Schizosaccharomyces pombe: one gene and its partners. The gene in region 1 interacts genetically with each later gene. Each region holds a gene or a part of one and is shown on either strand. Other genes may lie near its edges. The genes, in order: ubc13, sum2, pso2 and sec28.

Region 1 (3,097 bases):
TTATTGAAAACTCGAGAGCAAATAAAAAACTATTCAAAAATTAATATACTTATAAAGGAGCTTTTCGGATTAGAAGTTGCAGACTGTATAGAGGACGAGGATGGATATCGTTTCAACTGTAAAAACACTGGAAGGAGAGGGAGTAAGTGCTTTAAGGGATTTAGAAATAATTTCAAGCTAACAGGATATTATTATAGCACTCGAATATCAGCTCTTGTTAGATGATCAAAACTTTACATTTACTCCACGTCTGAATGTTCAAACTGATGAGGAGCTTATGAAACATTTACCAGACTATTTGTTGGAGGAAATTATCTTTACGAAAGAACAAGGAAAATTATTTTCTGCTAGATTAATGAAAGCTTTGCAAGATTAACAATAATAACTATGGATTTTGCTTAAACTTTAATACTTCCTTGTTATATGAATAGCACTATATCTTAAATTAATTGTGCTCGTCGAGATATCACTTTTTTCATCGTCCGTCAAAAGCTGCGATGTTTGTATTCTGCTACCATAATTATCTATTATTAATTTTTACATCTTTTATTCGAAAAGACCTTAACCGCTTAGGAAAAAATTGAATGCAAAAAACTTAAGGAAATGGGTAGAATTCAAATCAAAGACTGTATATAGAAAGCTATTGATATCGTAATATATTATTATTCTAGTGATAACCATAAGCATTGGACTATCATAAGTAATCAAACTGCATACTTTTTCGTCCATTCACGGGCATTTGCAATTGCCTGTGGCTCATTTTCTTTCCAAATCTTTGCAACATCATTGTCTAAAGGGTCATCTGGGTTGGGAGCACCCATTAATGCCTGTATCGAAAGTAGCACGGTTCGAATTTGTAAAGCAGGACTCCAATCCTCTGATTTATTAATGTTAGTACACCAAAATAAGATGAAACGTGTGAAGTTTAACATACTTTTTAACGTAGATAAACATATGCGACCTAATTTATCAACGTTTGGATGATAAATTTTAGTAAGAAAACGAACATTGGGAGGCATCTAATAGTTGTTAAAACTCAAATTACACAATTATACAATTTTTTGAAGACAGTTTGAAACTGACAATGCCATTCTTCAAATTTTTGTTGAACTAGCAGGGCTAGCAAAAGGACCATGGTAGGCTCAATACTGTGTTTTCAAAAAAAACCTACCATTGGATACTCATCAGGAAGAAACAGCTCTAAGTGAAATTTTCCACCTTCATAAGCTGATTGCTGAGGCCCTTCCATAGTAATTTTAAAATAGCGAAGATTATCTTCAGTGGGAGCCGCTACAATTCCGGGTGGAGGATCTCTCGTAAGGGTTTCAATTTCCTACCAATTATTAGTTGAAAAATGCTAACAGAAAGCGCAAACCTTAATAATACGCTTAGGCAAAGCCATTGTTCATATACTTGGACTTCCTAGAATGCATGCTGTACACACAATAAGTACTTGGTTTAAGGAGAAACTGGAGAGATTGATACACTATTCTATATAAGGAGTGACGTAAAACATAATACAAATAGTGAGTGATAATAAAATCTCCACGGCTCTAGCTAAGAATAGTATTAGCAATTGACAAGTAGCCATGGCTTCTTAGTTTATTATTATTAATATTCATAATATTGTATAAAATTTAATTTGTTTTTTTATAAAAAAAAAGATTCAGAATCCTGAAATTGCTACAGTCACCTGGCCCATATCGAAAAAGATGAGGGAATTACAGGGAGACGATTCTTCAAGAAAGTCTCCTCCGAGTGATTCGGTTGTAAAAAATTCTTCGCCTATTGATTATGAACATTCATTGAAATCTCTTCAAGATGAACGTACCTTGAATTACCCCAATAAGCAATTTAATTCTGAAAACCCATCTTCATACTATAATATGGATGATAGCGGGGAATTATGCAACTTTGAATTGGAGAAAGACAGTCTTGAATCAATGATCCATGAATCGTCCACTGCTCTAAGCGCTCAATCAAACACTGCACAAGACGGTGATCAACTAGCTTCATCGTCAACAATCTCTAAAGATCACTCAGAAACGTTGGACAATAAGCTAAACGATTCTAAGATATTAATTAAAAAAGCTTCTAACTCCTTTGCAAATTTTTCAGAAAGTGTAAGGTCTAGTACCATTGTTGCATATTCTCAAACACCGACACAAAGGTTGCAAGGTTTAACTTCCATATCATCTTCTTCTTTTGACGATGGTAGTTATGGATCTCGTCGAATATCTTTTAACTCTCAGGGTGTTTCTGGTCGGTTGCGAAGAAATATGGATTCCACGGTCATCATCCCTTCCGAAGATGAAGACTTGCAGTTACCATCGAATTCTAACAGCAATGTGGAATACGGCCCTTTTGATAGTACTACGTTTGATAGACAATTATCAATTGAAGTTAATCAACCAGTGGGTGCTATGTCTTTATCTCCTTGTGGTAGAGATATAGCTTTAGCTTCACGTTATGGTTTACTAGTCTTAGATCTTGATAATCCTTATAATCCACCAAGAATGCTAAGACATTCTACTCCTTGGGAAGTTGCTGATACTCAGTGGAATGTTCATGCCGCAAGAGACCAATGGGTGGTTTCTACATCAAGTCAAAAAACGATAGTATGGAACCTTGCACTACCAAATGATCGTGCTATAGAATTTATGTTACATGGACACACCCGCGCCGTCACAGATATGAACTGGCATCGGCAAAATCCTGATGTTCTTGCCACTTGTTCAATTGATTCCTCTGTTCACTGTTGGGATTTGCGTAGTCCTCGATTTCCTGTTAACTCCTTTTACGATTGGCATAACGGAGCTACTCAGGTAAAATGGAATTATAAAAATCCCCACATACTTGCTTCTAGCCATGGACGTTTAGTAAGGATTTGGGACGATCGTTATGGATCCGCCCCACTTCATACAATTAAAACTTCCGAAAATATTACTAAAATTAATGGTCTTGAATTCAATAGAGCATGTGAAACTCGCCTATTAACTTGTGCTATGGATCGAACAGTTAAGTTTTGGAACTATGAAAAGTCAACAGAGGAGCCTGAGCATTTAATTACCACTGATTCTCCAGTATGGAAAGCAAG
Region 2 (4,487 bases), on another chromosome or scaffold:
CTTCAGACAATGTTCGTTTTGTAACATTGAAACCAAACAAGTAAGTATGAGGATCTTAATTTACAATTTAAAGTACATTTTCAATGATAGCAATTGAAATTGTTTTTTGCATAAGGAGATAGAGGTGATCTAGTTTATCTCGTTCATATTGATCTTACTGACTTTATATTAAATAGTACAATTCACCTCGGAAAATTTGGTTCATTTCTCGCTGATGATTTGTTTGGAAAGCATTTTGACGAAACTTTTGAAATTTATCAACCCAAAAAAATTCGAGTTTTAAAAACAAGGGAGGTACAGTATATCGAGGAAGAAAAGAAAACGAATCAAGAACTTAATGATTGTCGAGGCAATCAGCTTATGACTCAAGAGGAGATTGATGAACTGCGCGCAAACATTAAAGCTGGTGGACTTCGTGCTGAAGAGGCCATCAAACAGTTGACTAATAGTAGTAAAACTTTTGAGCAAAAAACTTTATTTGCTCAGGAGAAATATGTTACGAGAAAAGGGGAAAAGTATCTTCAACGCTTTCAGGTTTTACGACCTTGTGTTGAAGTTGTGGCTAATTACATGATTGAACATGATCCGTATAAGATACTTGATCTTACTGCCGAGTGTATAAGCTTGATGCTTACTCTTGGAAATGTTAAACCTGGGGGTAGATATTTGGTAGTTGATGAGACTGGATGCATGTTCCTTGGTTCTCTTATTGACCGTGTTGCTGGTGATTGCAAAATAACCCTGGTCCATCCAAATGAGCAACCTAATAGCTCTTGTTTAGAGTATTGGGGGCAAGACTTTAAAGAGGATAGTTTGGTTCAAAAAGGGATTTTGAAAACTTTGAATTGGTATCAAGTTACGAATCCAACCGAGACTTTAAGTGAGTATTCGGTTGAAGATATTCCTGAATCAGAGTTGAATGAGATGAAACTTCGCCACCGTAAGCGCTATGAAACGAAGAAAGCTACATTTAACCGTTTGAAGAATACTATTGATGATTTTGAAAGTGGTAACTATGATGCTCTCTTTATACTATCTATTCACACCCCAATGTCTGTTCTTCAACATCTTCTTCCAAAGCTCGGTATATCACGTCCTTTCATGGTATACTCAACATATCAGCAAGTCTTAGTCGAGACGTATCATCAATTATCTAAATGGGATAACTTATTTGTAGAAAAGACAGCTCAAAGTACTGAAAATGACGAAAAGGTTGATCAAGGAGACGTTGCTATTGATACACAGAAAGAGAAAGTCATCATGCTGGATATTCATGAGATTCGTACACGACCTTACCAAGTCTTGCCAGAAAGGACTCATCCATTCATGACTGTTAGGGGTGATATGGGTTTCGTTTTATCTGGGATCAAGGTGTTAACTTCTGACAGCAATCTAGCTGCCGGAAGGTTTCCAAAACGTAAGGGCCAGAAAGAAACTTCTTCTGTCAAAAAAGCAAAATTGGAAAATTAGATATGAAATATTACTTTTGGAATATTTTTTTCAAGGCTACTCTATTAGATCAACAAGGGGAGTTACAATTTTGGACATAAACTCAGTTACGTTGAATTGGGAAAAGGTTTTTGTTATATTAAAAAGTTTTTTGTTTCATTCTTTAACTTAAAATTTTCATACGTATCAGAAAATGAATATGTTAGTTGGATAATGTAATTGACGGTGCGGTTTCAGGTTAACTCAATTTTGAAGAGCGTTAAAGTACAGTGTCTTTTGCTTGGCATTTTCATTCTTTTTAAAAATAGATTACTTGTAATAAGTATAAAATTAGTTACAATTTGACTGCTGCACATATACGTATTTAAGTAAAATAAGTAGTACATGGTCAGAGCAGCTGTGGATAGCCTTTTTGATCTTAAGCATGTTAATTTTAAATAAATATAAAAACTGATGAAAAAACAGCTTATAAATGACAATGTCGCATTTTGGTCTTATTTACTCGGTATAATGAACCCCATACTAGCGCTATCGCCAAGTTCGTTAATTTCGAAAGGACACCTAACCACGCTCCTTTCACCACTAAGCTTTACTTCGTCGAGTTTATAACCAATGACTGAATTTATTGGTTCTCGTATTAGTCTAATTAGCAAATCTGACATTCGGTACGTGAGAGCATTATCTTTCCTTTACTAATATTTAGTTATGTGGGCATTTTGCAGGACATCAATTCCCAGGACTCAACACTGGCTTTGAAGCATGGTAGGTTGAGTACCCAGCATTGATTACTAACAGTTTAGTCCGTTGGTGTGGTACTGAAGGAAGAAAACAAGATCCCTCTCAAGAAATCCCCCCATCAGATAATGTATTTGATTACATTGTTTTTCGTGGAAGCGATGTTAAAGATTTACGGATTGAGGAACCTGCTACTACTCCTTCTGCTCCCCCGGTTCAACCTCCTAATGATCCTGCAATTATTGGGGTATGTTACGTCTAAAGAGTGGTGGAGATTCTCATTAGTATATCTAGTATTAATTATCTTTGGCACTCTTTATATATCTGACAAGATCATGATTTTAACTATAATTAGTCTAATAGCGGGCAGTATAATTGGAACCAAGCGCAGACTGCCCAACCTCCTCAGCCTGTTCAACCTAACCCTTATGGAGCTCCATACCAACAGGCTCCTCCAGCAGGTGCACCTTACTATATGTACCCGAATGCTCCCGCTCAATTTGTACCTCCTGGAGGTTTGCCTTTGGGTACTCCCTTAGACGCATCCACACCTGCGGTCCCGTATTATGGGGCACCTGATCAACAGCAAATGGGTCAACGTCCTGAGTTTGCTCAAAATGTTTCTCAAGGGTTTGCCGGTCAGGCCCCGTACAACGTACGTCCTGGATACGGAATGCCTTCAAACCAGAAGCCTCCCAACTTTGCTCCGGGCATGCCTGCTCCTGGTCCTACCGCGGTATCTGCATCTCCGTCTCTTCAATCCATGCCGCCCACGAATGGAGTGATACCAGGTGCACAGCCCTCCATTGAAGCATCTATTGAAAAAGAAAGTACTAGTATACGGAATTCCACTGTCACAAATGACCGTGTTGTGAATACTACTGTGGATGTCTCTCAATCCCAAACCGTTGAAACATCTGGACCTTCTAAAGAAGTTCCTACAACTCAACCTGATGCTAGTGCTGCAAAGCCTCGTACCGAATTTGACTTTCAAACTGCAAATCAAAAGTTTCAATCGATGAAAGATGATTTGTTAAAAGGAAAAAATGATGAAGAAGCCGAAGAATTTTACAAGCCTAAGCAATCTTTTTTTGATAATATTAGTTGTGAAAGTAAAGAGAAGGGTATGGAAGCTGCAGATAGAAGAGCTCTACGAGATCGCGAACGTTCTTTGAACATGGAGACATTTGGCGTTGCTGGCTCTGGAAATCGCGGCCGTCGTGGACGTGGTCGTGGACGTGGTGGTAGAGGTCGTGGACGTGGATATGCAAGAAATCAATATAACCAATACAGGAATTCCAATGGCTCTCAACCTAGAGCCCAGCCTGCAAACGACCAATGAACTGCATTTCTTATAATGAGTACAGATGAAGTATCCTCGTTTCTCTAGATTGAGCTTCGTCTTCGTTTCAATCATGATGAACTCAAAATTTATGGACATGTATTTAACGACCCGAAAAAAGGTGTTCTCTTATATAAACCAAAAGGATTAGTCGTTGTTATTTGATATTTAACTTAGGAGTTTTGTTAAGTTCTTGTAGAGTGCTTTAAAAACTATACTTATCTGCTCATGTATTACGCAAGAAGAACAAGCATTGAAACGATATCCTATACCGAGATTTCGTAAAGGTATTACGAATAAATGTTAATGGGTTACATATAATTACCAAAAGGTTGAAGACTTAACCAATCCGCTAATGTTTATTCTTTTATACACCTTGATAGACCCAAAGCATCGCTGGTTGCATGACTGAACATTGAACAACCCGTGTTTTTCAACAGTCGTTTCGTTTTTGAAAAGCGTTTTGTAAAAATTTGATTCAGTCGACTTGTTTGAAGCTGACAAACTATAGAATCCAAACAACAATGTTTGAGCAGTATGAACAATTTATAAGCGAATCGTTTTAAAAATAAAAATGTGCTCTCTTAATTTTAGCATTTTTTAATAGTTTAAATTTCACGAACTTAACTACGTGATATAGTGTTTTAATAATCAGCAGTAGAAAAATTAGAACTTAATATTATTTGATCATCAACGAATATCGGAACGCAAGAGTTAACACGTAAACGATACATTACAATTATGTTTTGTTATCAAAAGTAAATTGATCCAGCGATTGAAGCTAAACCAGAGAAAAACATAAATGCGCTTCGAAATAAGTTTTTAAAACCCCATCTGTGAATTATACTGCGGAAATTTTGAGTAGCCTTTACATCTTTAAGTATTAGATCTGGATTTAACGTTTGTAAAGAGTTAATGTCCTTTTTCATAAACAAAAGCGTGAAAGGAATAATACATAGTC
Region 3 (5,513 bases), 4.1 Mb from region 1:
TTATTAAATTACGATACTTTAATTAGTTGATTGCCATTAAGCTAGAGGTGCGAAACTTTGATTTTGCTACTCTTACCAAACTCACATTCAATGAAGAAAAGCCATTCACTCCCACCACTGAATTATTTCTCCCAATAAACCATCAAAATGGAAGAAGTAGTTCATTATTTCCTGGAAGGGAATATGCCGGTGGCACAGTTTCGAGAAGCATTAGCTTTGCATTATACAAATGAAAAAGAGCTATTTGAGCAAGCGAAGAGATGTTTAAATATTTGTTGCGGCAGCAACAACTTTGCAAAACGGAACGACGTTTTGTTTTCTTTACTTGATGTTGCAGTTAGCATTTCGTCTCTTGAGTTACGGAAAGAGTTAATATCTGAATTATATGTTCCAGTACAGTCGTTAGAGGAGGCACCTTCAGAATATTTGGTTTCCTGTTGTTTACAATTAGCCACTATTTATGAAGCTGAGCAAAATTTTGAGCTTTTATGTTCTTCATTGGAAGCTGTCGAAAAACATGGTCATTTTGAAAACGACCTAGAGCAACTCTTGTTATTAAGAATTCGTTTAGGAGATGCTTATTTAAAGTTAGGAAAAGCTGAAAAAGCAATTTTAACCGTAAGGACAAGTATACCATTGGCATTTAAAGTTAGTAATGATCAATTGCTAATGGAACTTCAACTTTGCAATGCTCGCGCTCTCGATGAAACAGGACAATTCCTAGAAGCTGCGAAATGTTACTATCGGGTACTTCAATATAAAGTACCTGGAAATGAACTAATTTATAGAGAGAACTTGTGTTCAGTAGCTCAATGTTTACTTCTAGCGATTCCTTCTCCTATTGTTTTGCAGTTCCTCCAAGAAATCTCTCTCCAACCATCCGTCCGAGAAATCCCGTTTTATTCTCTAGTCGAAAAGTACCTTAAAAGAAAGTTTATCGGAAAAGAGGACGGAGCCTTTCTGTTGCCTTTTCTACTTCCTCACCAAGTAATTCATATGAATAGATTGATAGAGGATGGTCGACATTTTTTGGAAACGAATATCCTTTTTCTTTCAGAGTTTTTTGAAGTTTCTTCTACATCTATACTTGCAAAACACTTTAAACTTTCTGAGGAACAGGTTGATACAGTTGTTGCTGATATGGTGATACAAGAACGATTGAATGCTTCAATCGATCAATGTGAAGGATACATTACTTTTTTGCCAGAGTATGGAAAAGCAAACAATCTTCCTAATTATGTTAATAAAATTGCAACCGTTCTTCAACATTACGGTTCTTAGACCAAATGTGAAAAAAAAAACTGTTTTATAGTTCATCTATTTTATTCATTTAAAATAATATTTATTGTATAATGTCATAGAAATATTGACGTTCTTATTTGTATCTTTTTCACCTCGTGGTCGCTAATGTTTGTTTACATTATAAGTAACTTCCCTCTCTGCCTGTTCTTATATTATTTACATGTGCTTGTAACTCCAATTCGCAGTACCAATTGGTAATGGAGCAATTTGAGATAATCAGAGAATCGGATGCTGATCCTTACTACTTTAATAAAAATCTTCGACTAGAAGAATGCGAAATTGACGGGTTTACATCAATTTATAAAGCTCCACCTCCATATTCTTTTGTCGCTGGTCTAAGTAAAAATACTTCTTCTAACAGTTTTGTAATCCACAAATGTCTTCCACCTTTGCAAAGGAACAATACAATTAGAAAAAGAAAGCGAAATCCTTTTCTAGCTGACAGACCTTATTGTATCAACAGTGAGGACATGCCTTTAAGTGATGACCGAGATATGTTAAAGGAACGACACGTCAAATCGCGAAAACTTTTATTAAAGGAAAAAGGAAATCGTTTTTACCGTAGAAGTTGATTTTTATAATTATTACCACCTGTTTCTAACTGTTTGTCTTAAAACTCCTTCGCATGTTGATGATTTGTTTTAAGGAGCTTGAGCGAAGACTACTTTATGCTTGCCAAGAGGGTTTTTTTTAAGTGTTTTGCCTTGAACTGTGCAATTGCAAGGCTTTTCAGTAACAGGCCTTATTGCCATTGTAGGCCATTAAGAAAGTAAAAGGAAAAAAAATTAAAATCATTAAGGAACGCTAAGCTGCAGTGAAAGTATATTTCTCACTAGCTTCTCCAAATCGAAGTTTTTTGTAAATAAAACGCATTTTCGTGAATAATCGATGCTTTTTTTTTAAGGTGTTTTTTTCTTTTTTTTTCATTACTTCAATTTTCAGTTATTACCCTTCCTTAGGTATACTTCTTTTTTTTACATTTTAGACCAGATCCTGACCGACCAATTTTGGATCATCCAGCGTCACATAATAATTCATCCATAACACTTTTTAATACTTTGAAATTTATAGTTAGAGGTAAAGTTTCTAAATCTGTTTCCTTTGTTTTTTCGTTTTGATCTTTCAAAGGCATACCTAATATTCTACGACTTCTCATACACATTGTACATTAGAAAAAGTCGCTCTTGACGTCTACTCGCCGTTTCCTTAACTTCAAGACTTCTTTTAAGCGATTCTTGCGGATTTATCGTGTCTTTCCTCGAATAATAGCTTTCATTATTAAGCTAAACGAAACTTTACAACTTTTGAAATAACTTCCTTTAAAAGAATTCAATCACTTACTGTTGTTGCTTATACACCAAAAAACAAAAAACTAATAATTTTGCCTTTGTTTACGTTCACTGAAATGAGTAAACGAAAGTCATCGTCTATTTTAGATTTTTTTAAAAAATCTAATAATGGCAAAAACATGTGGGGTAATGAAGCTGTTTCTGTTGAAAAAACTGATTCCACCACCAAGCCCTCTACAGTAAAAAATGCAATTTCAAGTTCCCAAATAAAAAATGAGAAATTCTCACAGGAAGTCTTATTACAATTCAATGATCCAAGTTTCACTTCTGAAGTGGGTGAGTCTCCTCAATGGCAATCTTTTGGGGATGCTAACATCTTAGAACCTTTAAAAAATGAGCTGGTTAAAAACGAGGAGTCAACCATGTCTGAATTGCTTCTTTGTCCAATATGTGGAATAACTTTGGAGTCTTTAACTGTCGATGCCAATATACATGTCAATGACTGCCTAGACGGGAGAACAACGGAAGCTGTTTCAAAAAAGCTGAAGAAAGACTCTGTCGTTAAAGCCGATCCTTCGAATTCGAGTACATTCCCAATATCTGATTCCTGTAAACAGGCGTTATTACCTTTACCTGGAAAGCAAATTAATGTTCGGTCTGTTGTTCCTTTCTATAAATTAATGCCTTATAATATTCCTTTTGCCGTTGACGCATTTGCTTACGGTGCCATTGATGGTGTTGAAGCTTATTTTTTGTCACACTTTCATTCTGATCACTATGGCGGTTTAACTCCAAAATGGAAGCACGGTCCTATTTACTGTTCAGAAGTAACAGGAAATCTTTTAATAAATGTCATGCATGTTGATGAACAATATGTGAAGCGTCTCAAACTAAATCAACCATATAATATAATGGGTATTACTGTATATGTTTTGGATGCTAATCATTGTCCAGGATCAGCTATGTTTGTTTTTGAAACGCTTCAGAGTAATCAAACAAGACGTGTTCTTCACTGTGGAGATTTCCGCGCTTCTAAGGATCACGTTATGCATCCTGTTTTACGAGAGAAGACCATTCATAAAGTTTATTTGGACACTACATACTTGAATCCTAAATATACTTTTCCACCCCAAGCGGATGTTGTTCAAGCTTGCGCCGACAAAGCAATATCTATCAAGAAGTCAACAGATTCTAGGCTTTTGGTAGTAGTTAGCACTTATAGCATCGGGAAAGAAAAAGTAGCCGTTGCTATTGCAAAATCTCTTTCTTCACGGATTTATGTGGTTCCTCGAAAAATGCATATTATTAAACAACTTGAAAATCAAGATTTAATAGATTTATTAACGGATGATCCTACGCAAGCTTCCGTACATATGGTCACTATGATGGGAATACATCCGAATTCGCTTCTTGACTATTTGGAACAATACAATAGTTCCTTTGATAAGATCATAGGGTACAAAGTTACTGGCTGGACATTTCAACCCTTGGAAAATCGTGCACAACTTAGCAGTAGCTTAGACTCGATAATTTCCAGACCACCGAAATTTGTGGAATACGATTTAAGAGCGATTAGAGGAAGCACCGACAAAGTGGCAGCTTTTGTAGCCCCTTACAGTGAACACTCGAGCTTTTATGATTTAACTATGTTTTGTCTGTCGATGAACATTGGACATATTATCCCAACTGTAAATGTGGGTAGTCAACGGTCTCGTGAAAAGATGAATGTATGGCTAGATCGTTGGGCTTGGCGCCGAAAGAAACAAGGCCTACTTTCATTGGAAAATGTGGATTGGTAAACCAAAATCTACCACAATAATTTTCCTTTCTGTTTCTTTTAGGGTTATACGAGCTTGTCTGTAGCTATTATTTATGGTTCTTATAATTAATGTTAATGTGAGCAAAATGTTTTTGTATGTATGCTTTACTATGCCAATCCTTTATCCTTCTATATTTTATTTTTTTTTTTAGTTTCAGGAGTGCTAATACAAGATTATACAAAAAAATGACACCAAAGTGTAGGTGTATATTCATTTAAATCAAACTATGAGCTTGCAAATAATCCAAAACTTTTAAACTTTCTTTGAGCTTCGTTTTTTTATGATCGAATACTTAACATTAGTTCATTTAGGCTAATTTTCTATTTTTTTTAATTATAATAATAGAGCAATCTACAACGAATTGTCATCAAATAAACACCTTTCATTATAAAACACATCATCAATTTTTTTTCTAATTTTTTTGTAATAGCATTCGCCATTGATGAACGATGAACCTTAGTATAAAAAATTCTCATAAAACATTGCCCCGAGAGTTGAAACATCATAGGCGAAGGAGCTCAAGATTCAAATTTCCACTACAGAGAAACAACGAAAATAATTTAATGGAAAAAAAATCAAGCTACTCATAAATAACCAAAAAAAAATTCCAACAGTCCAGCAAAGGGTGTTAAGAGAGAAGAAAAATAAAATAAAATAAAAAAATATATAACAAAATTATAAAAAGTAATAACAAAAAGACAGTAAAAAATGATTGAAATATGAAATATTGTTGGGATTTATGGAAGCCTAGTCAACAAAAGACTGACTAAAACAAAGTTATTGTAGTTGAATACAGATAAAGATATGAAATTATCAATAAATAATTTCTTCCCAATGAATCTATAGGTAATTAATACCCGTAATTAACAGATTTAGCAAGTCATAAAATTCTCCCACTCCAAAAGGTGGCATAAAATAAACTAGGATCCAAAATAAATAGCAACATAACTTTGATAATAGCAGTATAGAAATTTGATATCCAATATAACTCAAAGATGGAAAGCATGAATGCCTATCAGTCCAGAGTATATATGAATTATGCGATGAGTCTTGATGTTGTTCGTTTCAAACAAAACAAAATATCGAAAAAAAATAGTTAAAA
Region 4 (3,486 bases), on another chromosome or scaffold:
GCCATTTTCTTGAAGGCTGCTCATTTGATAAGCACCAAGTACCGTTACAAGCTCATGGCTGCTACAATGATTGGCCAGGGTAAGAACATCTGGCAAGCTGAAATTGACGCTGGAATGGAGATCATTGACTTCCTTCGCTTCAATACCAAGTATGCTAGTGAATTATATGCCAGCCAACCTCCCGAAAACACTCCTGGTGTCTGGAACCGTATGGAATATCGTCCTTTGGAAGGTTTCGTTTATGCCATTACTCCTTTCAACTTTACAGCTATTGCTGGTAACTTGGCTGCTGCCCCCCTTCTCATGGGCAACGTCGTTTTAATGAAGCCTTCTGACCATGCAGTCCTTTCTAGCTACATTGTTTACCAAATCTTCCGTGAAGCTGGTCTTCCCGCTGGAGCACTTCAATTTATCCCTGGTGACGCTGTTGAAGTCTCCAAGGTTTGTTTCAACCACCCTGAGTTTGCTGGTCTTCATTTTACTGGTAGCACAGCCGTCTTTCGTAGCCTTTGGGGAACAATTGGCGAGAATGTTGCCAACGGAAAATACCGCACTTACCCCAAAATCGTCGGTGAGACTGGTGGTAAGAACTTTCATCTTGTACATTCTTCCGCTGAAATTAAGAGTGCCGTTGTTAATGCTGTTCGTGCTGCTTTCGAATATCAAGGCCAAAAGTGCTCTGCCCTTTCTCGTCTTTACGTTTCTAAGTATGCTTGGGAAAATGGTTTCCGTGATGAGCTTACCAAACAGGTCAAGTCTCTTAAGGTCGGTGCTCCTTTAACTGATTTTGCTAATTTTGTGGGCCCTGTTATCCATCAAGCAAGCTTTAACAAACTGAAGAAGGTTCTTGAGAGTGCTGCTTCCGATTCTGAAATTGAAGTTTTGGCTGGCGGTAAAGCTGATGATTCCGAAGGTTTCTTTGTTGAACCTACCGTTTTACTTTCTAAAAACCCTAAACATGATATATTCGTTAACGAATTGTTCGGCCCCGTACTGTCTGTTTATGTATATGAGGATGACAACTTAGACGCTGTTTGCGATCTCATCGATACTACCACTCCTTATGGTTTAACCGGATCCATCTTCGCTCAGGACCGTGTTGTTGTCAGAAAGTTGACTGACCGTCTCCGTAATGCCGCTGGTAACTTCTATATCAATGATAAGTGTACTGGTGCTGTTGTTGGTGAACAACCTTTTGGTGGTGCTCGTGCCAGTGGTACTAACGATAAAGCTGGTAGCGGAATGATTCTGTCTCGATTCGTTTCTCCTCGCTCCATCAAAGATACGTTTGCTTATGCAGACTCTGTTTTATACCCTTCCAACTTTTAAGTTTGTTTTGGCCTTTTTGATTTGGATTTAATTTTTAGAATTTAGATAGACATTGGAGTTGTAGAGTGTTTTACTCTGTACTTTGATACTGCCATAAAAAAGACCACAACCTTTTTTTTTTTGGGTTTAGTACAATATGTGAGGAATAAAGGAAGTATATATATATATATATATTGATTAGTTACCTTGAGTTAAACTCAAACTTTCAAAGGTAGTCTAGGTTTTACAATTTTTTTTTTTCTTTTTTTTTAAAGCTCGCCATTTGTTATTCTAATAAATTATAATGTTCGCTTTGTTAACATGTATTGATTTATAACACTAGATTTGTTGCATTGTATATAAAAGCCAGTGGACCAAAATGTAGTTTGCTGGTGATTCTTGAATACAACAACGACCTGTAGAAAAAGGATCTCAATTATCGAACATTTTACTTGCTGACTGCGAAATATATTATATTAGGCTTCGGAGCAATTAGAAAAATTACAAGTCTTGATGGAAAGTTCGTTTGCTTTACATTTTGTTGTAGGGTTACTCATGTACAAACACCATTAACCCACATACTCTCTACTCCACACATCGCCCAACATAATTAAAACTTTTAACATGTTTTCATGGGAGGCTAGTTTATCTAATGGTAAGAGATGAGTTGGGAATTAAATAACAACTAATATTTGATAGAACTGTATTTTGTTCGTCAATACTTTTATAGTGGAAACTATACAAAGTTATTTGAAATTGACACGACATCCATGTCTGAAAAAGGTCTTGAATTGACCGAAATTTATATGGCAAGGGCAAAATTAGCTTTAGGTGAAAGTTTAGAATCAATCCAAAGTATTTTAACTCAAAAAACGCCTGGATCAGCTGCTATTCTGGCGCTGGCTGGGGAGGGGAACATGGAGTTAATTATTGACCAGCATGGCAATTCAGACAGTGTGGTACAAACATTAGGAGCTATTTTTCAAATTAAAAATGGTTCTTTTGATGATGCAATGGATTTATTAAAGAAGTCAGTAGAGAACTTGGAGGCGGTGGCGCTTCAAGTATACATTCATTTACGAGAGCACAAAATTGAAGCTGCTGAACAGACATTGAAACAGGCTTTGGATTGGGCTGATGAAGAAATTGTACTACAGCTGGCACAATCTTGGATTAAAATAGTTAGTGGAGGCGTCGAATCCTATAATGATGCATTTTATGTTTTTGAAGAGTTAAACGGAACTGATAGCAATCCAATGACTTTAACTGGTATGGCGTGTGCAGACATATGCTTGTTGAGACCTGAAGAGGCTTTGAGCTCGCTGAAAACTGCCCTCGATTCTCAACCAAATTACGAGGAGGCACTATCAAATATGACTACTGCAATCACGGATTTAGGCCCTGATGCTCCTTCTCAAGCCAAGAATATACTTTCATCTTTTACAAATTCTTCTACACTGAAGTTGAACGATCATTTAAATGAAAAGGCGCAAGAATTTGATACTTTTTCAACTCAATTTTTGAGTACGGCTTAATCCAATAATAATATTGTTTAGAATCTTCAATCCATTAATAAACTTCAAATGTTTGCATTTTTAGTATTTATTCATTGACTATTGCTTCACTCAAGTAATGGCTCGTTGATCTGTCTGGCAAAGCAAGTCAATCCAGTATTGCCTCGATAAATTTCAAGTTTACCAGAAGTAAAGGTATTAAACTAATTAATTAGAAATACTTAACCGCATGCAGAAGAAGACTCATGTAGACATAATAACAAGAAAACGCACCCGAATATATCTCGAAATGAAACATTTAAATGAACGCCGTCACAACAGGAGCGTCTTTAAACCGTTTACTTTTATTTATCAAATACATTCATTAATTAAAAATGAACTATTATGACTATCCACCTATATATTTGTTTTTAAAAATCTAGAATAGGTGGTTCTTGTCCAAAATTACTCAAAACCTGCAGTGCCACAAAATGACAAGCAACAAGTTTGCCTTTACAAATAGAAAAGAAAGATGTTTTGAAATACACAGGTGTTTGGAATTTGGAAAAAGCAAGAAAACCGATATTAAACGATAAGACTTTAAGAATCGAAGATGAACTTGCTCAAACGGCAGTGGCACCATGACAGATTACAACTATATATGCCAACATTTGCTTAACCCCAA

Evidence for each region.
Region 2: mutations in ubc13 (region 1) and sum2 together harm fitness less than expected from each alone (positive genetic interaction), as found in Schizosaccharomyces pombe (one large-scale study listed by BioGRID).
Region 3: mutations in ubc13 (region 1) and pso2 impair growth when combined (synthetic growth defect), as found in Schizosaccharomyces pombe (one large-scale study listed by BioGRID).
Region 4: mutations in ubc13 (region 1) and sec28 together harm fitness less than expected from each alone (positive genetic interaction), as found in Schizosaccharomyces pombe (one large-scale study listed by BioGRID).

Annotation. Positions count from the first base shown.
Region 1 is NC_003424.3:5,286,680-5,289,776, forward strand, and holds ubc13 (ubiquitin-conjugating enzyme Ubc13), read right to left. Parts: upstream 1,416-3,097; 5' UTR 1,403-1,415; coding exon 1,376-1,402; intron 1,334-1,375; coding exon 1,172-1,333; intron 1,020-1,171; coding exon 935-1,019; intron 878-934; coding exon 705-877; 3' UTR 501-704; downstream 1-500. Other genes in the region: csm1 (microtubule-site clamp monopolin complex subunit Csm1/Pcs1), read left to right, coding at 1-142, 198-376; SEA complex subunit Sea3, read left to right, coding at 1,713-3,097. UniProt on the Schizosaccharomyces pombe protein: Has a role in the DNA error-free postreplication repair (PRR) pathway. The ubc13/spm2 heterodimer catalyzes the synthesis of non-canonical poly-ubiquitin chains that are linked through 'Lys-63'.
Region 2 is NC_003423.3:265,429-269,915, forward strand, and holds sum2 (translation initiation inhibitor), read left to right. Parts: upstream 1-2,027; 5' UTR 2,028-2,061; coding exon 2,062-2,114; exon of another isoform or gene 2,115-2,152; coding exon 2,153-2,211; exon of another isoform or gene 2,212-2,249; coding exon 2,250-2,431; exon of another isoform or gene 2,432-2,539; coding exon 2,540-3,526; 3' UTR 3,527-3,980; downstream 3,981-4,487. Other genes in the region: trm6 (translation initiation factor eIF-3 gamma subunit Gcd10), read left to right, coding at 1-40, 177-1,470; SPOM_SPBC800.14C (uncharacterized protein), read right to left, coding at 4,279-4,487. UniProt on the Schizosaccharomyces pombe protein: Required for G2/M phase checkpoint control.
Region 3 is NC_003424.3:1,155,987-1,161,499, reverse strand, and holds pso2 (DNA 5' exonuclease), read left to right. Parts: upstream 1-2,017; 5' UTR 2,018-2,707; coding exon 2,708-4,390; 3' UTR 4,391-5,013; downstream 5,014-5,513. Other genes in the region: COP9/signalosome complex subunit Csn4, read left to right, coding at 148-1,281; protein mug103, read left to right, coding at 1,500-1,874. UniProt on the Schizosaccharomyces pombe protein: Required for DNA interstrand cross-link repair. This requires cleavage of cross-linked DNA to generate DNA double strand breaks (DSBs).
Region 4 is NC_003423.3:2,325,574-2,329,059, forward strand, and holds sec28 (coatomer epsilon subunit protein), read left to right. Parts: upstream 1-1,900; 5' UTR 1,901-1,932; coding exon 1,933-1,963; exon of another isoform or gene 1,964-2,007; coding exon 2,008-2,843; 3' UTR 2,844-2,928; downstream 2,929-3,486. Other genes in the region: put2 (delta-1-pyrroline-5-carboxylate dehydrogenase), read left to right, coding at 1-1,329. UniProt on the Schizosaccharomyces pombe protein: The coatomer is a cytosolic protein complex that binds to dilysine motifs and reversibly associates with Golgi non-clathrin-coated vesicles, which further mediate biosynthetic protein transport from the ER, via the Golgi up to the trans Golgi network.